Drosophila melanogaster: one gene and its partners. The protein of the gene in region 2 interacts with the protein of the main gene of each other region in a pairwise test. Each region holds a gene or a part of one and is shown on either strand. Other genes may lie near its edges.

Region 1 (6,344 bases), on a different chromosome or scaffold from region 2:
AAACACGAGAGTGAGCAGAGTGAGCATCAAGTAAAATGTCAAAGGATTAAGAGTTTGATATGCGGAGCTAGCACACAAATCAACGGCTTTTATTTAGCTACGACATGGGATGACATTCTAGAAACACTAGGTGAACCACAACTGCAAATACTTTAAAGAGATTTGCCTATGGTGTTTGCGGTTAATGGATTTTACTCATTTCCTCGCTGCAAATATGACATACAAAATTATGAAAATTCATTTCAAACCATAAACAAGAAAACATGCTCTACAAAGCACATTTTTTCTCTGGTTTCTGCGAAGAGGGACCCCTTACCTAACATATGTATGAATATTAAAATTGAGCTAATCTTATTATTTTGTATTCTCACTACCCATTTCTTCTGGCAAAACATTGCATTGTTTTTCTCTTGCGGGCGTTCGTACTCTTCTTTTGTCCTTCTCATTCTGGCGTTTGTTGTCCCCGGTTTGAGGATAATCCGAGGCTAAATGGCTGTGCCTGTCGAGACTCAAAGCCACCGCAAGGAAGGCCACCCCGACCCGCCTCCTCGTCTCGTCTCGTCTTGAACCCAACCACCCACACATCCATCCATCCACCTGTTGCTCCCGGCTCTTGCTCACCTGTGTATCTGGCGGCTCGGTGCGGGCGAATGTCGGTATGGCGGATGCACGGTACTCTGCACATTTCTGTTGAAAGGGGGAAAACGAAAAGAAATAAGAACTTCACTTGCATGAAAAATGTGGTGCGTGAAATTGTCTGCACCCGCCGCTGCGGGGAGGCGTCATAAGTCAGGAGCTTAAAATACATACGTAGGAAATCATTGGAATGTTTCGACTCTGCGAGACGATGGCCTCCACATAGCAAGGTCCTTCCGGGCCAAAAATGGTGGCGATGCCATCGCATATCATCTCGGTGATGGCCTTGGTGGCCAGTACCGTGTCCCCCTTGGTGTCATTCCAGCGCAGATCCAGGTACACATTTGGCAGAAGATTGGGATCTTTGTTGACCTGTTTCCGGAACGAAAACGAAAGACTTTCAATAACAATTCTATCTAAAAAAAAAAAGGTACAACTTTGATGACGCAGTTTGAATACTATCGAGTTCAGATATTTGCTATTATTACAAATAAATCGAAGCTAGTACTTACCTCATCCAGGGCCATAGTCAGGGCACCGGAAATGGCCAGTCCCTGACGCGTCTTGAGATCGCCAGTGAGGGCCGTTAGGTAGCCGACAGTGAGGACGGTGCGATGATTGCTACAGTCGCGTACCGCCACCGACAGCAAGAGTAGTAGATTAAAGGGCCAACGCGTCATGGCCCCTTAGGCCGGGGCCGTTCAGCGCGACGCCTATGGGTCCCAACGGATTCTCACACTGCAATGATGGGAACGGAGAAGAAGGATCAGTTGAGAGTAGGACCAGAGACAGGAGCAGAAGCGTTGCGCGAGGAGCAGGACCGAGCCGAAGCTAAGTGAGGACGCAATTGAAACTGCCAAGGACCCCTTTGCATAATAAAAATGCATGTTTGACAAAGGCAAACACAAATAGAAAACAGCATGCTGAACGCATTTCAGACACTTGGCTTGATTCAGACGAAAGAGCTGCAAGGCAGAGAAGCTGGAAAGCAGCTGCAGTCCGACTGCCCAGGACACAGAGAATAAATTATGGCAGGATATAATATTAAAGACTCTAAAATAAATGTATTCTTAAGCAATTACGTTCGAAATTAACATACTATATCAATTCTTAGCTTATTTAAACAACTGCTTTACTCAAAAATACCAAACTAAATTGGGAATCAAGTAGGACGATTATTTTTCTCTGTTTATCAATAAGCTGGAACTGCTGAGTGTCGCAAAGGACGCAAAAGGGAAATGACGCTGGGTGTACTCCAACAGGCAACCGGATGCCAGGCAAGTGCCCACGCAGGGAAATGTCAAATGTTGGAATGTCCAACTTCAATATCGTTGACCACTCGTCCGTCGGCAGCCGAAACGAGCTTAGGAATTTTTTAATTAGGCTGTTCAGTTCTTTGCCATGGGAATTGGGAGCGAATCACTGATAAGTAGCTTATCAGCTACTGCAGAGGCCTTTTTCCACCAAGGAATGCCATATACATTCGTACATATGTATCCTCCGGAATGGAGGCCCATAATGCGGAGCGCACAGCTTGTTATTATTAATTATGCATGCGTTGATTTTGCCATTATGCAATTTCGTTTGAGGCATTAAATATATATATCGCCGGCGATTTCGTTTCAGACATATGTTTGTTATTATCCCTGTCCACGCCAACACAATCCCTCCCCACAGCATTGTCCTGATTGTTTGCGCTAAAGCGAAAGCTTATTCCATGGGATTGGATTACTCAACTGTTCGGTCGGATGATGGCGTTCATCCCTGTTTGTCTTTTTTTTTTTTTTTAACAGGCTCACGTGTAAGTTTAATTAAAAGAATAAAAGAAATGCGAAAGCCAGTATATAACGGAATGTAGGGCAACTATTTGATTATAGTTAATTTAAAAAAAAGTTGCCACAAACGACTGGGACATCGGTTAACTGTGGAGCACATTAAATTTCCAGCAATAGAACATAAAATTGATTAATATCGAATTGCTTTGAAAAGCCATAAGCTGAGTTTAATTAAAAGCAAAACCAATCCTTAAGACATGATAAGAGACTTAGGAAAACCTTAGGAATTCACAAATTTTCCTGATAATTTCAAACAAATATTCACGAGGAATTCAAAGTGTAGCCACTTAGACGCGGGTAATCTTTAGAGCACCCCAATCTCAATCAACAAAATGCTCAAGCAGCCAGCCATAAATTTGCATTTTCGACACACTTCGCAAACCATATTTGTTTTTGTTTTTTAAGCTGTATATTCTTCAATGTTGCAATTTAAAATTAGAACTACTTGGCTGGGCTAGCTAAATTTGGGCGCCACTGATAAATATTTGCGCACCATTTTGACACAATGCGAAACGCGTTTCCAAGAATGGCATTTGAATACATTTATGTGTGGCTAAGGCGGAAATCGTCTTTCCTAGAATCTAGATTAGCAGATCTTCTTGTTTAATACGTATATAGATTGGTCTATAAACAACCTATTTAAGTTAAAAAATACTTAAGTCGGTATCATGGATGTAAATAGCTGTTGCGCTGAAGTAGACAAAATCTAAAAACCATTTCAATTTCATTGATGAGTTTTTAACTAAGCTAATTGAAAAACTCTGAATGTACTCCTTTAGCATAGTAAGGTGTAATGCTCACATAGAGCTAGAACACCTTAAAATTTGTTGGAATAATCATATAGTTTCAACTATTACAATTACTTTAAATGTAAAATGGAAATACTATATTCAAGGACCTATAAGAACGTAGCAATACCTTTTCAAATTGCGTCAAATGGGCTCTCATTTTCATAATCAGATCCCCGTAGGTCTGAAATCTCACATCATGTTCGTTATTTGTCAGTTGTTGGTCTAGAAATTTTTGTCTTTCCGACTCGAAAGTTTTCACCTTTACCCGTCGAACGCTCCTCCGGCAAAAGACACTCAAAATTCGATGTTTACTTGAAATCCAAAGCCCGTGCTTAGAGCGTAGTGGAGTGGAGAGGAGTTGCGGCAATCCTGAGCTCGATCCCGAATCCGAGGACATAGTGCTGTTGACGGGTTCGATCACTAGATCCCCACATAAACCACCAACTCTATACCCACACGTGCGCCTTGAAGCCTAGGGGTCATTGCACTTGCGAACTATGTGACAGTGGCACTACGGAAACAGCGCCAGGGCCGGGTTTACCACTGCGTCTCCGGAGCACCAGGATCCGGAAACGCAACCTAAGATTAAGACGTCGCTGAACACAGGATCCGAGGACCAACAACCGATCCCCGGGCGATCAAAAACCCGGCGCCATGGCCATTCACGAGCAGATCGACAACCTGAACATCTGGTGGTTTCCGCGCGACTTCTGTCAGTCGCGATTCGGGGAGTTCCAGCGGAGCGGCACCAACTCCTGCACCATCATTTCCCTAATACTGGCCGACAAGGTGGCCAAGGCGGACAGATTCTATCACAGGGTCTCCGATCTGCCGCTGCGGGGATGGGAGCTCTTCGGCAACGCCATTAACGACGGAAACAGCGTGTACCACAATGTGATTACAACTAATACGCCGCACGCCAGGAATCTCAACCTCAACATTCCGGATGCTATCGCCGCCATTCGGTCGCAGCACAAGATGAACTTCCGGCTGGAGGAGTGGTTTTACACGCACATGGAGGCCGATCCCAGCAATCCCATGTACAACCGGAACGTTGCTGTGCAGTTGTCGCGGGTTTTCCAGATAACACTCCAGATGTTCCAGCACGCCAGCGTGCGAAACAATGTACCCACTAACCTCTTCGCCGCCATCATAGCGGACAGTCGAACGGTGATGGTAACCTTCGATTTCCGAGCCTCGATCGTCGCCCTCTTCGACTCCCACCAACACGGCCGGGATGCGGGAGCCGTCTTCGCCCAGTGCACGCTCGAGAACATGGACGACCTGCTCTTCTGGTTCATCAGCATGTTACACAATGTCTACTCCAGCCGGCCCTCGCTCTTCGAAATCTCCTTCCTCAGCTCTCAGCCGGGGGTGGCCAAGAACATTCCGCCGGCCATCCAAAAAAAGATTGCCGCAGACCTGAAGAAGCCGTTTAAGATGAACATGCCTAAGCACTAATCATGTTGCCAGGTTTACTACAAAGTCGCCAACATCCAAGGACGTCGATCTAGGCGCGGGCCAACCTTTCGGAACCCATTTTTGGGGCTATTTTAGGACAAAATCTCAAGTTTCATATAGCAAAATTTGTGTGTTAAGCGTTTAGAAATTTAATTCAAAATTCTCTGTTGACCATCAACTAATAAATAACGAACTCCAATTTGCATTGTATCCTTAAAGACAGATTTTGCAAGATTTAGCTATATGGTAAGTCTAGTCTGTTCAAGGTTGATACAAGATTGATTTCCGACCCTATAAAGTATAAGTGCAGTCTCTCAATGTCCGTCTGTTTGTTGTCCGTATAATCATCGAAATCTTAGGAGCTATAAACAGTTAGCTGGAACTGCTAAGAAGTAGAAACTTCTTGGTCGTTGAGCTAAGTAACTGGTATCAAAGAGTCGGACAAGAGGACAATAATGTTCTCTATCGTTTAGTTAAAAGTTCTTTAAGGCACGCAGTTAATCGTCGGATTCAAAGAATGAAGACAATATACTTTTGCAAGTCACCTAAACAACTTTCCATGTTGTTATGTACATACATGTGAACGTATGAAAAATTTAACTCCTAATTAATGCTGAACTAAATAATGATATAGAAATTATTTAATTGTGAGCACGTATGTATTTACCTTTCTGTTGATATTTGCCTATTTTCTATTCCTCTTACCTAATTACACTTGAGTAAACAATTAGTTCGGGAGAGCCGAACATCTGTGTGGGGGATTTTATGCATTAGCGGATGTGGGCTGTTTGCTGTTTTGGCCACCCCAGCTAACCGAAAGTCGAGTGGCTTTAATAACAAAGGCGCAAGAGTTAAAGTTGAACTTTGTAACGGGAATCGAGCGACGAGTATGCGGTGCGCGTGTGGCTCTGCCGTATTTTTCTCGACTTCTAATCAAAATGAGTTAAATAAACACATAACGTAACCTATTAAGAACTTAGTACGTGACAACAATTTAAATATTTATAAAGTAAACAGAGAGTGCGAGAGAGAGAGAGAAAGAGAGAGCTAGTGAAGAGGAGAAGGCGAGGGGCAAAGGAGGAGCGTCTAAAAATAGAGCCACATATCAAAGAAAATATGAGAAACAAATCGAAAACCGAGGCGCAAGACGTGATAAAACGTTTAACGTTAAATGTGAAAAGCAGCCGCGGAGAGGCCAAAACAGAGAAATAGACAAAATGAGAGAGGAAATCGCAGAGGGAGAGAGCGTGCAACTGAGTTGTAATCAACAAATAAAGAGCTACAAGTTGTGTAATGTGAAAATATAAAAATCGCGTAGCCGCAACGTGGGCCGCATTTAACATGATGCTCTCTTGTTCTCTTGCTCTCTGGCTGTCTCCGTCTCCATCTCTCTCACTCCGTCCATCCTCTCTGTCGCACAGCGCAACAAGTTGCAGTCGGCGGCGGGGAACCGTCTTTATTGCACTTTTCAGACGAAGTTTTTTGCTGCTGCACGTGTGTATACACACATACATTCATACTTATGTATGTGCGTACAAATTGTCGAGTTGTCTAAAAATAAAACCTGCATACTAAAAATAGAAACCAGACGCGAACACGACAATCCATTGGCCGTTGGATA
Region 2 (10,136 bases):
AGCCAATCCTGCAAATCCAAAGGCTCAATATCTGCATCCGTTGAGGCATTGCGATTCGGTATATTTGTCTTCTGGGTGATCACCTCGCCTGAGCCACTGGTTGAGCCACTGTACGATACGCTTTCAGGCAGTGGCGAAGATGATCCGATAGCTGCTCGCTTTCGTGGAGCGGGAACTGGTGGAGCAATACGTTCAGCTTTGGATGAGCTTCTCGCATTGGATTGGTTCGTATTGGTGGCCGCAACTTGCTGCAGAGAACCTGTAGGCACTGTTTAAAGTATGAATTACTACAAATGCCACCTTGTTGAAGAGTTTACTCACCCTTCAACTGCTCCTTGCTGCTGCTGCTCAGGGAACGCGAACTAGTGCTGGATTCGGTCAGTTCCAGACAGGAGATACGCCTGGCTATATCACGGACGAGTTTTTTCTTCTGTCCCTGGCTGAGGCTGCGAGATTTTACCAGAGAACAGACCAACTCGATTCCTATATCCAATACCCCTCGCGGTCTACTACCGGATCCAACGTCTAATGAAGTGGTTGATGAGGAGGCTGTGACGCCGGTGGAGGGATTTACTACAGGGTTCTCGGGCTGCTGGTTCTCCTTGCTCACATGCCGCCTATTGCCCCGAATTTTCTCGAACTGAGCCGCCGTGTACTGTCGCTCTTGCTCGCGCACCTTTTCGCGCTTTGTAGCTTTTCTTTGGTCCCTCGTGAGTTGCTGAATTCCTTGCTGTTCCCTTTCCAGTTGATGATCCTTTTCATGGCGCTGTTTAGCTTTCCTTTGGTCTCTCATGAGTGGCTGAATTTCTTGCTGCTCCCTTTCCGGATGATGAATGTCCGTCTGACAAGAGCTAACTTTGGAATCCTGTCTCCTGGATTTACATTGGCACTTCTTTGTGTGTTTGTGTGACTTATGGACAGACTCTAGTGTCTGGGTTTTTTTGTTTTGCATCTGGGGCGACTTGATAGGTCTGCGAATGTCCCCCGCGGATTGGGACATGGTTTGGGTAACTGCTACGGAACGAAAACTGGGGCTACTGGCCAATACAATAGGAATTATAGTGTATTCATTCGGTTTCGTCTGAGTTACTTCCGATTTCGGTGATGTGAACTGACTGATGTTGTGCTTACTGGGTGGTGGTGAAACTGACAGTTCCCGGAGCTGTTCCTTTGCTTCCCCCCGTTCGTCAGGTGAACGATGATCGCTGCTCTTCGTGCGACGCCTGTGGCCTGATTCTGGTCGCGCTTCATGTTCCATGGAGGCACATCCTGGCGGCTGGACTGATCCCAGGGCACAACTTTGGGTGCTGCCACTGGCTCCACTGCTTGCCGTCGACGAAAGGGCCATGAATCGATCCAATTCCCGGTCCGTGGCCATTGCGCTGATATAATAATCCCCGGGTGGTGGATGAACGCGGGTTAACTTCGCCGGTCTGTTATCTCGGGAACCAAACTTCTTAAACATTCGGACTGTTTCTTGGCTCTAATTGTCGAAAAAGTTTATTTCCCTGCTATATTCCAATTCGCCAGAGACTAGTTTGATGTGACGCAAAAATCATTCGAAAACGCAGCACAAGTTTGTTGACCAATGTTGCCACGCCCACTCTAACGCCCACAAACAGCACGTGTGTTTATATTTTTCTCAAATTTTTATTAGTCTTGTAAATTTCTATAGATTTGCTAATCAACTTTTTGCCACGCCCACTCTAATGGCCTAAAGCCGAACAATTTTTAAACTTTTTCTCATTTTATTCCCCAATATCTATCGATATCCTAGAAAAATTATGAAATTTCGCGTTCGCATTCACACCAGCTGGAGTAACAGGTATCTGATAGTCGGGGAACTCGACTATAGCAGTCTCTCTCTCCTATTAATTTGTTCAAAATGCCATTACATTTTCCTAAAGTACATATTGAGATGATAATCAATAAAATATCAATAAAAATATAATATATAATATATATCGATCGTCAACCCGTGCTCAATTTATTTCTTTTAAAAACATTACAAATTTAGTCAAATGCTAAATCAACATAGTTTTCTATGTTTGGAGTTAACTGGCCGTCTACATTAAATTTAAACATTACGTATGGACTAAACCATACGTGCTTCGGGATTTAAACAATTGTGATCAATTAAAAGCTATAGAAAAATACAAAGCCTAGCACTGGCAATAGCATAATAATGAAAAACTATAACTGGTGGGTGTCATTTCGGTGGCTGTGGAAAAATCCTGATTCGATCTTCTCTACATGATTGCCATGCTGTGATTCAGGGATATCTGTCCGCTGGCCACGCGACTTTTGAGGCGCTGTTTGGATAAATGGGATTTAGGAATTTATGAGATTTTAAATATATGGACAAATCGGGTTGAATGGGTGTTCATTGTCTGACCTTGTTGAAGACATCGCGCATCAAACGATTGGAGCGACGTCTCTGCTCCTCCTCCTGGCGACTTTGGGCGGCCAACACTTCCGGCAAATTTTTGCACCGTTTGGAGGTTATCGCCTTCATTTCCCTGGTGGTAAATAACCTAACTCGAGCTGCAAGTTAAGAAATGTAGTTATTATTCGGACTTCGGATTCCATTTGATATCTTACTATTGGCTGGTGGAGGCAGCTGCTCCAGATGCCTGTTCAGCGCCTCCATGCTGGTACTCTGGCTCAAAACATTGTCCAGCTCCTGGCGCCGAGCATTGCGAATCATCTGCATCTCATTAAGTATGGCCTTGCGCTGCTTGGCATTGGCACAGAATTCGGGACGAGCCAGCTGCAGTTGATCCTGCAGGGAGGGAGGTTTCTCAATCACCTCACTGCTGCCCGTCGGCGTAAACTGGATGACATAGGATATAGCACGTGGACGCACTTGTAGCGTTTGGCGTTGCATACTCTCTGCATTCATCGTGGTCTCCTTGTGCCCTCTTCGCACCCGCTGACATGCCACATCATCGTACTGATGAGTGGTGGTCGTAGTGGTGGTCTCACAGGTGTTCATCATGCCCATGGGTACGGACATGTCCGAGCTGATGCACATCATCGAGGACGATGAATTTGTGGTGGTTGTGGTCGATCTGGTGATTGCCGAGCCTCCTGCTCCACCAGTTGCACTTGCTTCATTTTGTGTCTCTGTGCTCACCATTGTTGCTTGCACATAGCTAGCTACTCCCTGAGAGTTGACCACCTGGTAGTAGATGGCTTCATTCTTATCCGCGCCGGAGCTACCACTCTGGTGTGGAGTGGCATAGGCACTTCCCGCCGCCTGGGCGTACTGCATCTGCATATATTGCTCACGTTCATCGGGCTGCTCCTCTGCTTCCTGTTGACGCCTCTGTGAAAAAGAAAGAGATGGCTTGAGTATGAGGAAGTCGCAGGATTCCTTTTATTGGGCAATAGCCTTACCGGACAATTCTGCTGATGAATGCAAGTCCGCTGGTGACCACATTGAGCACACTGACCGCAATGTTGCTGCCTCTGTATCAATATATCTTTTTGCTGGTTCAGCTGCTTCTGCAGCTGGTAAAGTTTCTGTTGCTGAAGCAATACAAACTGTTGCTGCTGCTGGTTCTGATAATGCTCGCGGAACTGACGCTGCCTTTGCTGGACAAAGGAGCAGACACTTTCGCTGCGACCGCCGCCACTGGTAGAGCTACCTGAGACAAGTAAAGGAGTGGCCATCTTTTTACGGTTCTGCAGATTCCGCTGGTTAAGGTGAGGAGGTGGTGGTGGTGGTTGTGTCGGGGGCGGTGCTGGCAGTGTGGAAGGATCAGAATTGGTCACATTCACTCCAACCGATTCAATTCTCACTGGGGGCGGCGGTGTTGTTGTTGTTTCCGAATTTTCCATCTCTTTGCTCTCTGCTTCAGCTGACATTTCTTGTCGCAGAAGATATTCCTTGTCCGGTCGCTCCTTCTGGTCGCCCATACATCGCATGGAACTTGGAATCTGCGCAGCCGTCGCAGATTCCGTGTTTGCTTTCTTCTGCGACTTGCTGGGCAAACTGATATTTTCCAAAAGATTCTTAAATTCCTGCATGCGATTAATCTCTGTCTTGACCCAGTGGAGCTGCCTCCTTCGCTCCGAATCCGTGCCACCTTTCAAACGCTCTTCGAACTCTATTTCACTCAGGGTCATGGGATTCAGCCAATCCTGCAAATCCAAAGGCTCAATATCTGCATCCGTTGAGGCATTGCGATTCGGTATATTTGTCTTCTGGGTGATCACCTCGCCTGAGCCACTGGTTGAGCCACTGTACGATACGCTTTCAGGCAGTGGCGAAGATGATCCGATAGCTGCTCGCTTTCGTGGAGCGGGAACTGGTGGAGCAATACGTTCAGCTTTGGATGAGCTTCTCGCATTGGATTGGTTCGTATTGGTGGCCGCAACTTGCTGCAGAGAACCTGTAGGCACTGTTTAAAGTATGAATTACTACAAATGCCACCTTGTTGAAGAGTTTACTCACCCTTCAACTGCTCCTTGCTGCTGCTGCTCAGGGAACGCGAACTAGTGCTGGATTCGGTCAGTTCCAGACAGGAGATACGCCTGGCTATATCACGGACGAGTTTTTTCTTCTGTCCCTGGCTGAGGCTGCGAGATTTTACCAAAGAACACAGCAAATCGATTCCTAGATCCAATTCCCCTCCCGGTCTACTACCGGATCCAACGTCTAATGAGGTGGTTGATGTGGAGGCTGTAACGCCGGTGGAGGGATTTACTACAGGGTTCTCGGGCTTCTGGTTCTCCTTGTTCACATGCCGCCTATTGCTCCGAATTTTCTCGAACTGAGCCGCCGTGTACTGTCGCTCTTGCTCGCGCTCCTTTTCGCGCTTTTTAGCTTTTCTTTGGCCCTTCGAGAGTTGCTGGATTCCTTGCTGTTCCCTTTCCAGTTGATGATCCTTTTCATGGCGCTGTTCAGCTTTCCTTTGGTCTCTCATGAGTGGCTGAATTTCTTGCTGCTCCCTTCCCGAATGATGATTCTTGTCCTTTAGTTCTCTTCCCTTTGGTTCCCCTTGTTGCATATCATTTTGGTGCTGCTCTTTTTCCAGTTGCTTCTTTGGCTCAACCTCCATCTCTTGTTGTCTCCTTTGATTGTGTTTGAGCACCTCGACTTCCTGCGCCATATGCATGTGATAATCAAAGCTACTGGCCGACAAACTGCCGTACACCGAGTTGGTTTGTGATTCCCGCCTTGAACTGGAACGCGAGCTCTCCACCCTTGAGCTGACTTCTGATCCCAATCTGGAGCTATTTGGCGAGTTGAGCCTGGAGTCGTCTCTTCTGTAACTGCTCAGCGATTCCCTCCGCGAGCTACTCACCGATGGCCTGCGAGAACTTATCTGTGGATCTTGTACTCGCGAACTAATCCTTAAATCGTCTTTCTTACGCCTGTCAATTGATTCTTCTTCTTCCATTATGGAGTCAATTTCGGTATCATTTCTATTGTAACTGCATTGGGTACCTTCTGTTGTAAAATTTCCACGAATATCTTTTGCTTCAGAACTGCCTTGGGTTGACTCCTTTTGCGAGCTGCTGCGACAGTCCGTCTGACAAGAGCTAACTTCGGAATCCTGTCTCCTGGATTTACGTTGGCACTTCTTTCTAGGATCTCCTTTATTGGAGCTCAATGAACTTTCCATTCCAGAGTTTAGAGACTTCGTGCGTTCGCTGCGATTGACAAACGTGCTGCAAGCCAGTGGCGGCGTTGGCTTATCCAACATTGGTGACGGTTCCTCGGCCAAAAGGGGCTGCACTCCATCCAAATTCGCCTCGGGTCGCTGCTGTGTTGGCTGACGCCAGCTGCAATCCTCCAAAACGGATCGCTCCAGCGTGCTGATGTTACTCATGGACATTGCCCTCTTGCAGTAGCCCACATCGGCAGAAGGATCCCACTCCAGGCGTTTGTGTGACTTAAGGACAGACTCTGGTGTCTGCGTTTTTTTGTTTTGCATCTGGGGCGACTTGGTAGGTGTGCGTATGTCCTCCGCGGATTGGGACATGGTTTGGGTGACTGCTACGGAACGAAAACTGGGGCTACTGGCCAATACAATAGGAATTATAGTGTATTCATTCGGTTTCGTCTTAGTTACTTCCGATTTCGGTGATGTGAACTGACTGATTTTGTGCTTACTGGGTGGTGGTGAAACTGACAGTTCCCGGAGCTGTTCCTTTGCTTCCCCCCGTTCGTCAGGTGAACGATGATCGCTGCTCTTCGTGCGACGCCTGTGGCCTGATTCTGGTCGCGATTCATGTTCCATGGAGGCACATCCTGGCGGCGGGACTGATCCCAGGGCACAACTGTGGGTGCTGCCACTGGCTCCACTGCTTGCCGTCGACGAAAGGGCCATGAATCGATCTAATTCCCGGTCCGTGGCCATTGCGCTGATATATTCCCTAGCTAGTGGAGGAACGCGGGATGATTCCGCCAATTTGTTATGGCGAGAACCGGACATCATCACCTTTCCGACTGCTCCTCTCTTCGCTCTCATGGTCGAAAAAGTTTATTCCCCTTCAATATGTCAGTTCGCCACATGGAAGCAGCGTTAGAAACTAGTTTGATGTGACGCTAAAATCATTCGAAAACAAATTGAGCCACCTGATATCGAAAGTTATCGCCTATCGGTGGCGATAGTTGGTTAGATGCCTTTGTTATCGATATCGATTATTTTGGTTAAAATTACATTACATTACATTTTCCTAAAGTACATACTGAAATGTTAAAATCAATGAAAAAAGCATATATAATATATATACTATTATGTACATAATTCAAATAAAGCATTTGGTTAGTTGATACAAGTGAATAAGTAAAAAATTTTATTAACAGCAATGTAATATGGGATTAACAGGGCCTATTGAGAACCGGTTCGGACGCAGTGTTGGCTAACGATGCAACCGGTTCCGGTTGTCTGTGGATTTTCAAAATGGCATTTGGTGTCGTACTGCGTTGTTTATAATTGCTCCTCGCTGCTCTAGAAAAACAATTTGAATCTGATTAAAGAAACTTAAGATATACACATCGACTTGTGATCGACTGAATAATGCTGGAGACGAAGAGCATAGCTGCATTGGCTTTCACGGAGACGCCGCGCAAACGCAAAAGGGAGACGCTCTATAAAAATGCTGCCCCGCCCCCGAATCCGCAGCAACAACCCCCAGAAAAGGACGCACAGGATGCAGCTGTCGCGTCGACAGAATCCTGCTTCACCAACGCCGCCTTCAGTTCCACGCCCAAGAAGCTAATGGTGGCTCGTCGTCGTTTGGCCAAGGAGAATAGCCAACCCAATCCGTTTCCCGGCTTGGAGGTCAAGTCCATAGCTGATCTGGCCCAGAAGCAGCAGCACCAGCAGCATCATCAGCAGCAGCAACAACAACAACAAAAGCTACCCACGAATCCTTTTGAGGTCCTGCGCCAGCCGCCCAAGAAGAAGAAGCGCGAGCATGCCTGCTTCGAGAATCCTGGCCTGAATTTGGAGCTGCCCGAGAAGCAGTTCAATCCATATGAGGTGAGTTCACTAGTCTAATCGTACATGGATGTACTTTTTGTCGCAGTTAAGTTACAGTAGAAATCATTCATATGTGTTTGTTTTCTAAATAAAACAATATCTTTATAATCTATATATTAAAAACTACATAAAAATCATACATTTATTATATATAGCTATAGAATATTATTATAACTCAGCCATAATATTTTTAGGTCGTCCGCTCGGCAACCACGCCCGCCAAGGGCTTCGTGAATCCTGCCCTGAATTTGCGCGGCAGTGATGCGCCGGCCTCGCTCAATCCCTTCGAGATCCATCGGCCCAGCGAGGCGTCCGAGGCAGCCTGCAATCCCTCGGGTGTGGCCAATCCGGCACTGGCCGATAGGGATTCGGAGGAGCAGCTGCCCACCAGCCTGAAGATCGGCTTGCCATTCACGCCAACGCTGGGCTGTCGCATCGATTTTCACGGCATGTCCCTTACGCAGCTAACGCCTAGCAAGCTGCTGGCCGAGAAGCTGGTCTTTTCGCCCGTTCCGGCGCCCAAACGATCGCTGGGCGCCATCAGCGAGGAGTCGTCTATGGACATTGGCAAGGAGCTGGATCGCTATCAACTGGAATTGGAGAACAGCATCAACGAGGCGAAGCTACGGAAGAATGGCGTGCTGGTGGATAGAGAGTTGCCCAGGAATAGCTTGGAGGTGGAACTGCCCAAGAACACCAAGGTCTCCTTGGTCATGGAGACCAATACGCAGGAGCTGATGATGCAGGAAGTGGTGACGGTGGACACTCAAGTGGAGAGGCGTCTGGTTTGCACCAGACGACGCACACTAACCGAGATTAGCGAGGCTTCCGAGGTGGAAGAGGACACGGAGAAGCTGCTCGAGCAGGACCGCGAAGCAGAGGTGATTCTCGAGCAGGAGAAGATTCTAGAGCAGGAGATGGTCTCAGAGCGGGAACGACATTTAACGAGGGAGAAGCAATTGAAGCAGGAGAAACTCCTAGAGAGGGAAAAACATTTGGAGCGAGAGAAGCTGCAGGAGAAGCTGCACGAGCAGCTCAGGGAAAAGCTCCAGGAGAGGGCCAAGCATCTGGAGAAGGAGAAGCTGGAGGAGGAGGAGCTCCTGGAAAGGCAGCTAGAAGAGGAACGGGAAAAGGAGCCAACCGACGGCGATGTGGCCTATGCCTCCGAATCCGAATCCGACGACGAGCCCGATGATCTAGACTTCAAGGCACCCGCGCGCTTCGTTCGCGCCTACAGACCCGCCGCTCTGCCCTCCAAGGCGGCCAGCAAGGAGTCGCTGCAGTCCATCGGATCAAGCAAGTCCGCCAAATCGGCAGAAGTTAAGCCCAGTATCGGAATGAAAGGCATGATAAGAAAGTCCATTCGAAGACTGATGCATCCCACGTCGCACACCACGCCATCCGAGGTAAAGTCCGAGGACAAGGATGAACATGGACATGGACAGGGCCATGGACAGCACAACATACTCAATAGCATTCGGCACAGCCTGCGCAGGAGGCCACAAAAGGCGGCCGAGTTGGAGGAGCAAATGGAGCCCGTTCTCGCCGACGTCTCCATTATCGACACCAGCGAACGGACCATGAAGCTCCGCTCGAGCGTTGCCCAAACCGAGTACATGACCATCGAGCAGCTGACCAACGAGAAGAAGCACTCACTGCGGAACAGCATTAGGCGGTCCACGCGGGACGTGCTGCGCCATGTGTTCCACAAGAGTCACGATGCCTATGCAACCGCCAAGTGAGCAGGTTGGCTCCACAGATTCAATTGGTGCGTCGATTTTTAGGGGATTTCAAATGGCATTTCTGTAACCGAAAGCATTTAAATTTATTTGTTATTATTTTTGAAATGCGCCTTCCCCTTGTTGAATTGACCCAATTGACTTCTTTTCAATTCGATTTTTCAGCACCTAGTTAAGTTTTTAATTGCACCCAAAGATTGTCACACAAGACCAGCGAAAAAAGGAAAGGAAACCTTATTTCATCTGAAAACCACATCATCACCTAGTTTTTAATCAAGTTTTTTTTCTTAATTTTTCAAGCGAACTCTGCAAATTAATTTGCACACTGTTTATAGTTTTAAGTTACTTGATGTTTGCACGTTTATTCATATATGTATGTATGTATGTTTGCCCATATATCTTTATATATATATATATATATGCTTTCTAATATATATAACATTTGTTTTTTTATACATAAACGTGTGATTTCCTATTCTTGGACCGATTTTTCCGACTAATTTGTGTGTACAGATGCATCAATTTAATGCTAATGACTAGCAAACATTTAAGTTGATAAGTTAATATACTTGCTTAGCTTATGGACATTTTTGTATAGCTTTCAATTATTCATTATCCCGTTTGTCCGGACATTTCTCTCTTGAGCGGACTGCCATCCTGGAGCACACCTACTTGTAGACAGTTTGGAGAAGGGGTCGCCGCCGCTGGTCGATGGGCTTGTAGGCGTGCTGATAGACACTGGCCAATCGCCAGTGCTCTGGATAGCCGCCCTGACCCGCTCCGCCCGCTTGGCTTTGGAAGGGCGGCACCAGGGTTTCGATGTCGTAATTCTTTTTGGCATACGGCTGCCGGGGGCGTGGCACCACCAGAACCCTACCACCGCCACCGCCACCTCCTC
Region 3 (7,411 bases), on a different chromosome or scaffold from region 2:
AATTATTAAGGCACAGTTCTTATATAAACTGTCGAGTTCAATGAACTTTCGCAAAGTGCCCCCTGGAAGCCGTAGAAAGCCAAACTAAATCCATTAAATCGCCGCAAGGTAGGGCATAGAATAGAATCGCAACCAGGCGGCGGCACATGCTATTACATAATATTATGAAAATTAACACTGAATCACATAGAGCGAACTGACGCGGACGCTGGCTAAAGTAACGAAATCAAAATCATCGGCACACAGATACTTTTTATACCAATACTTGCGCACGTCTACCTTCTCTTAGCCGTTCTCTCTTACGTTCTCTTTACGAGAACCATTTCAGCGTGTATTTGTGAGATACGAATAGAGAGTAGCTCATTAAAGAGAATCTGTTTTTGTTTTTGTCTGGTTTTTGGCTTGTTACGGTTTTATTTTATTTTTGATTGTGCGCACGTTTTGCTTTTGACGTCGTTCGTATTGTATCTTTAAGATAAACAATGCCGGCATAACACACGGATACAGATACAGCGCACTCTCACACACCTGCAAAGTTCGGTTTGCCTTCGCATTCTGGTTTTGTTATGTAAACAATTTTTTGGTTTGTCGTCCGCCCGGCATCAAGATCGCTCTTCCTTCTCTTGCTTTTTTGTTCTTTTTTTTGGCTCATAATTTGTTTACATTTGCAAAGGCAATCAAAAGTGTGCCAAAATAAAATGAAACTACAAAGCTGCGTGAAAATGAAATTTTTAGTTTTTCTTCATTGGCAGCGATATTAAAACGCACACAGAAACACGGGCAAAATCATTTTTATATCAGGCGATTTCTGCTTTTGCATAAATCTCGTTGTTAAGTAATGCTGAAATATCTTATAAGTTGGTAGTTAGCCAAGAAAATGAATTTATCAAGGGTGTGTTTATATGTCCGCAGATATACGATCTACATGAGACTTTCTGATCGAGTTGGCGACCCAAAAAATATAATGAAAATTAAACACGCATGTTATATTCGGAATAGAATTTCGGCTGCAGGTTACATAAGATCTGGGTAGGTATTATTTCTTTTTTTTTTTTTTTGGTTAGATTAGACAGATAATACACTTTCAAACGAACGAGTTACTGGCAATAGAAGATAAGAGATAGAAAATTTGAAATAAAGTGGGATTATTATGAGGGTCAATAAATCGTCAGCATGAAACTCAAAAATATAGAAATTAATTGGATAATATCTACTTAATGTTTCAGTCAGTTGGAGCTGATCACGACGTGACCTTAAGTCCTCACTCACATTTAAGTTCCCTGTATATTGTACTTGAAATTCACGAATTCGCCCTGCAGAAATTTCCCTTTCGAAAGCAATTTACTGATATCGATATTGTAGCACTCGAGAGAACTCACTTTCTGATCATTTTAAGCAAAACAGCGCAATCTCCGCCTCGGAAACGAAACCATATAAGCAGTATATATAAATAGAGAGGTAACGAACGAGATTGAGATAGGGAGCTCCAACTTTCATATCAGCTGGCATTGTGAAACATTGTATTGGACAAGGGAAAAGTTGGTAAACAAGCCAGAAGGCACTCGATTCTAATTGTTCCTGTTGCCGCTCGGCTTTGCGTAAGTAAAAATTATGTATACGCCTCATATAACTGCACGTGCATCCTGGTGCAATCGTGGTTGCAGTTCCGTGTACGTAAAGTCCTATTGCATAATCCGTATCCGATAAATTGTTCCTAAGTGAATAACAAATATGTGAAGCCCGGCTACCTGAACACGCCCTCAGGGCAATAGCTTATAGCGTAGATTGCTTTATTTTTCACAATATTATGCAATGTCAATCGTAGATACAAACAACCGTTGTCCGTCGTCACTCAGACAAAATGGCAGCGTTGACATATAATATGTGTATATAGCTACATTTACAACGGCGTTTGTCAGTATTCTAAGTCAACTGAATTCAGGCATTGTTTGCCTTAAGTCCGATAAGTGATTGTAGGCGCGCAGTGATTGAAGTCGATAAAGGAACTTACAGCACTAAATGTGATAAACTCATTGAGCGATTGTTGAAATAATTACTATTTGCTTGCTTGTAAAGAACTGATTGAAAACGACAGTTGTTCTGTATCAACTATGAAATTGCTATCTTATGAAAATGAGTCAACAAATGATTCATCTTCATGAACATTCATGTACCCAAATACGATATGAGCAACAGCTCAGGTGTGGAAATTCCTACAAAGTTGTTTAAGTCTTTCACCAATTTCCTAAAATCCCAAGAACTTCTGATAGAGTTCTTTAATCGCCAAGTAATCACGCCACATAAGCCAATAAATTGCATAACCAAGTGATTATGCTCCGATGGTAGTTTTCGACGTAATTATGAAATCGCATACATTTTCATTGCCTTAATGTTGGCGTTTATTTGGTTTTGTACATTTTGATTTCTTCTTTGATATTTGTTTTATTGGTTTCTCATTTGTCTTGCCGTTTTTTGCTTGGCTCACACGTTTTATGACATTGTATTCGAATGGACGACAATGACGACGGCGATAAACGCTGATATAAATAGCTCAAAATAACTACAAAAGAAACTGGGCTGAAGAATTTATTGAGGCAAGCCAATTAGCAACCAAAAATTTCTACATAGTTTGTGATTTTTCAGGTTTTCGGTTTTGATTTCACACCGATTACACAAGAACCCCCACATTCGCTGTGACTAATTGGCCCGGTCCCTTTGGGCCTTACATAAGTTCGGTGTAGTGTTTGACTTGGTTTATATAACAACGATCCAGCTGTTTGAAGTCTGGCTTCCTCGATATTCGACTCTGAGTCATGACGAACCTTTTTCGCCCGATGACGTATGCAAATAGGTTTTTCCTCTTTTCGAGCTAACCATATTTTTTCAGCATTTCCCCAACCCCTTTGGCGTTTTTCGTTTTGGGCCAAGTGGGCGAACTGTGTTGTTGCGGCTTGTTCATTGGCAGCAAACGTCGCATAATACTCGTAGTACATTGCGTGTCGTAACGCTAAACGTCAACCGAGTGAGAGGGGCATATGCGGTCGAGGGGGGGAGAGGGAAGGAGCCCAGTTTCTCGCTTTGGTAGCTGACGAATATTGGGTGGTGACCCCGACAAATTGGCGAATCTTTAGTAGATTATCGGGGATTGGAAACTGTTAACCAGAGAATTACGAAAGCGATGACAACGCGACAGATTCAAGGAAAATGAATGAAATGAAAATGAAAAAAACTGACGTTTTTTTTTACCAGTTATATTTTATATACTTTAACTTTGTATATAAAATTTGTGTCAACTATAATTTAACGAGGTTGAATTGTTTATTTTCTTAATTTTACTTCTTTTAAAATTCCCAAATCGTTCTTTCCACCATTTGTTTTTTGCTTATCTGAGCTAATTTATCGCGAAATCGTTAAGATATATATTTTTCCACGGAAGTTTTATCACACATTAAATATAAATGATTATCAAGTGCAGGCCGAATTCAATTGGCCACAGAACGTCAACAAAGCAGCGCGGAAAAAACGCTTAGTAATGCCTTTAAAAATATGGCAACACGTAAGAGCCGCCCCTGCAGTTTTCCCTCCGCTAGACTCAAGCAGTGCACTTTTTGTTTTCACAATCATTGCAGATAGCAAATGAAAAACTGTTTTCCCCGACAAAGAGCGAAAAACTAAGAGAGAGACTTGAATGTGCCAATCTTTGAAAACGCAACTTTGTCGAGCGTTCATTCACATTGAAAACAGAGGCATAGCATGTGGTTTGATGTCGTAACACACACAAAGAGAACCCGAAAGAGTGGCAAAGAGAGCGCAGAAATGGAATTACCTGTCGCTGTTGAACCGCGCCTCCTTGTTTTTCCCCAAAAAAGGGTAGGTTTTTCGCGGGGGGTGCGGCGTGTACTGTTGCTCAAGAATCACACACAGACACACACACTAACACACGAAATTCTCCCTCTTCTTCTTGCAATTTATTTAAAATTTTGTTGTTGTATTTAGTTGTATATATTTTTGTTTGCCAAAAATTTATAGCCACACGCGTGCGAAAAAATCGAATTGGGGAATCTATTCACTCGTGTTATGTGTTGTTTGATATTTATATATATTTTTTTTTTTGTTTTGTAAGAACTTGGAACGGCGCTTGTCCGTCGGCTTTACGTAACCCCGCCGCACACACGGGTTAACTTTTTTTCTTTCTTTCTCGTAAAGGGTGTGCGGCAATTTGGGGGGGGCTGCACTTGGACCCCCTTTTTATATTTTGTGACTAATTTATTTATTTCATTTATTCACACCGAGAAACACGCGAGCGAGCACCTTTATTTTATTTTATTTATTTCTTTGATTACGTTGGCGTTTGTTTTGTAATACGCTTACGTTACGCGACGAGACAGAAAGAGAGAGAGCGAACGCACTGGGCGAAAGAAATAGCGACAACAGCAGCAACGGCGGCAACGTGTTCGAGTGGCTCGGCGATGATTTGCTTATGGGGTGCGCTCCACTTTGTTGCTTTTTTATTTGCCTTTTTTATTATTCATACTTTTTTTTTGTATAATTTTTATTATTTTGCTTTTTGTATTTGTATTACGGCCTGGTTTTTTTTTTCAAACTCTCCCTGCTGTCTGAACTTGCCACGGCCGCTGTTCAACAGCGAATGACTGCTGTGAAAAGTCAGTCGTTGGCTTGGAGCGAAAAATTGGCGCTCTCTTTTGGGGTCGACTCTCTTACGCCTCCGTGGATGTGTCTGTTGCGTCATCGATGTCTGTGCCTTGAGCTCTCTTTGTTTAGCACTTCTCTCTCTGGCATTTTATTTTTTTTTTTAATTTTTGCCGGCAAACCGTCAACTGTCACAACAGGCGACGCCAAGAAAAATGATGGGGCAGCGGGGGCTGCGGTGGGTGATTTGCAAAACTATTGGGTTGGGGGATAGTGGGTGGTGTTGGGGGTGCTAGTTTGCCAGTGGGCGTCATTTATCGTATGATGCGCATTTCCGGCGCCACTCAACAGACTACAGCCATATAAACACCAAGCAAACATCAATAATCACAACAGATACGGTCGATTTTCTGTTACTTAAACTAAATTACATATATAAAATTTTGTAATTTTGTTTAATACGCAAATATAGTTTTTAGATTATGTAAAATAGAATAAAAGCTTACTCAAATAACTTATAAAATTAATAACGAAATTTGTATAACAAAATACACAATAGATTAAACTGTGAAAATATAAGTTGATTAATTCTCAGACATGTCATTACAAGATGTATTAATTTTATAATCCTTAAACAGGTTTTGAAGCTATAGATTTCCTATCCCGATAGAGCTCAGAGTTGTTAAAGTTCGTCTGTAATATCGAATATCTGCGTTTCGTAAGTGTTGTGTGGCTATTACATATTGTTTTGTCATTTAACGCAAATTACGTATACGACGCGTTGACCTCATTTGGGTTGATCAACAAATGCAGTTGTCGACAAACTTGGCTTATAACAACCGCGTATCGCTTCCCCTCCCCCTACTTCCCGTCTTTCTCTTTTGGCTCCGCTTGGCTTGTATTTCAAGCTCAAGTTCAACGTTGTCTGTTAGCGGTTGCCTGCATACTACCAGTTTTCATGCTGCTGCTGCTGCTGCTGCTGCTGCGTTTCCATTAACATTTTGAGTGGCCGTTGTTGTTAACTCATTTTTCGCTTTCGTAAGTCTTGGACAGTATAAAAATATGCGGGGCGGGCGAGTGGAGTCCGCTTATGTTTGAGCATTGCTCGCATTTATTGCAACATTTCCCCATAGGGAAGTAATCGAATTGCTTTGCCTCAGGTCTGGGTCTGGTTTAAGCCTGCATTCAAAAAAAAAACAAAGCTTGAAAGTTTACAGATTAAAACATATTAAAATTAACAAAATTTATTCTAATATATATTTTCAAATTTCTGAGTTGTAGAATCTCAATAATCTTTAATTGTTTAGCAATTAACGTTATTTTAGTAGTACCATATATTTTAATACCATGTACAATTATATAATTAAATTTTGACTGTGTACCGGTTATACAGCTCCCATTTCTCAAATAGTTGGCGCTGCTTTTGTTGTTCATCAACGGAAATTAGCTGCGAGTTTCATGTTTGAAATGTTTATTTTGTAAGCAATATATGAGGAAATTAGTTTCAGTTTTTTTTTTTTGCTTTATTATGTTTTTTGCATAATAGTGTATATCACCGATTTGGGCTTTGGTTCAGCTGAATTTGAAATAGGTGTGTGAAGCTGACAAACAAATTATTTATTTTTTTTCGTTGTTTTAGTGAATGTTAATTGAAGTCGGGCGAGTTTCGTTTGTTGCCAAGTGGAAGTGAGAATTTGTCTTATGATTGGAATCCATGGAAGTTTTTCCACAGATTAAATGTTGAATGGTATACATTGTTTTAGAATGCGCATTTTATCCGAACTTGAAGTTCGTCATTTCAGTTCTTGAGTTTCCGGCAGCTTTATTTAGCGACATGTCAACTGCACCCAACAGTTTTAACAGCTTATCTCATATCCAGTTACCATTTTCAGATCCTCTCTCCACTCACCAATTATGCAATCAACTTGACCTCCAGTTACTCAAAACTGTGTATTCCAGCTGCTTTGAAGGCCAACCACTCTGTTTTGACAATGCTGCCCCGAAGTTGGCTATTCGTTCAGAGGAAAAAACTCGCCTAATGGTATACCACAAAATCCACAGAAAAATGAAACAGTTTTTATCATTTTTTTTTTTGCATTTATCGTTTCAAAATTTGTATCTAAACCTTTATTGTTTGTTCTTTCTTGCAGTTTTCGTAAAACATAATTATTCGCCTTGCCTTAATCTCACTTCTTATCTCTTGAAGTTCCTACTAATTAAATTCAGTTTCTATTACGAAATTAAAGACCATAACAGAAGCATAACTTTCTCATTCGGTTAACAAAATCTACAAAAACTTATACAGAATGTTATGGAACTCAATATGAATTAAGTTGAGTGTAAAATAATTAACAAATGACTTGACATTAGGTAGTAAATTATAGCTAATCTGCAGCATCTCGAGCACTTCTGTTGGAGTTTCTTTAGGTTTTCTCTTTTGTTTTTTTTTTTTTAGATTTATTTTGGTTTTGTATATATATCTAGGTACATGTTAGTGTCCTTGCTTAGGCTTTCATCTTTACGTTTTAGCTTAAATTTGGTTTTCATTCGTATTCATTTTTTGTGTTTTGCATGCTGCCAACAACAATTAGGCTGAGTTTCTTGTGGATTTCTTTTTAGCATTGCTCTAATGCCTTAAGCTGATCTTTTACTAAGTGTTTTGAGTACCAAATGAAGTTATCTTGCCTTTTCTTAGGCTTTAAGTTATGCTTTGATCTAGCTTTCGTTTACGCCTCAACTTAAGCTATGGTAGCCTTGTGTT

The links.
Region 1: the proteins of Alms1a (region 2) and Vtld interact in a two-hybrid assay, tested with the Drosophila melanogaster proteins (one large-scale study listed by BioGRID).
Region 3: the proteins of Alms1a (region 2) and CG32369 interact in a two-hybrid assay, tested with the Drosophila melanogaster proteins (one large-scale study listed by BioGRID).

The regions. Positions count from the first base shown.
Region 1 is NT_037436.4:19,756,915-19,763,258, forward strand, and holds Vtld (viral tegument-like deubiquitinase), read left to right. Parts: upstream 1-3,494; 5' UTR 3,495-3,916; coding exon 3,917-4,723; 3' UTR 4,724-4,903; downstream 4,904-6,344. Other genes in the region: Gyc76C (guanylyl cyclase at 76C), read right to left, coding at 622-687, 811-1,008, 1,149-1,316.
Region 2 is NC_004354.4:4,629,419-4,639,554, forward strand, and holds Alms1a (alstrom syndrome 1a), read right to left. Parts: upstream 6,587-10,136; 5' UTR 6,483-6,586; coding exon 4,460-6,482; intron 4,407-4,459; coding exon 3,400-4,406; intron 3,329-3,399; coding exon 2,602-3,328; intron 2,545-2,601; coding exon 2,396-2,544; intron 2,313-2,395; coding exon 2,250-2,312; 3' UTR 1,634-2,249; downstream 1-1,633. Other genes in the region: Alms1b (alstrom syndrome 1b), read right to left, coding at 1-268, 322-1,465; pon (partner of numb), read left to right, coding at 7,035-7,499, 7,694-9,241; CG3081 (uncharacterized protein), read right to left, coding at 9,907-10,136. UniProt on the Drosophila melanogaster protein: In asymmetrically dividing germline stem cells (GSCs), plays a critical role in ensuring centrosome duplication, which is essential for the production of centrosomes and centrioles in all downstream germ cells.
Region 3 is NT_037436.4:7,805,171-7,812,581, forward strand, and holds the start of CG32369 (uncharacterized protein), read right to left. Parts: upstream 4,656-7,411; 5' UTR 3,827-4,655; intron 1-3,826.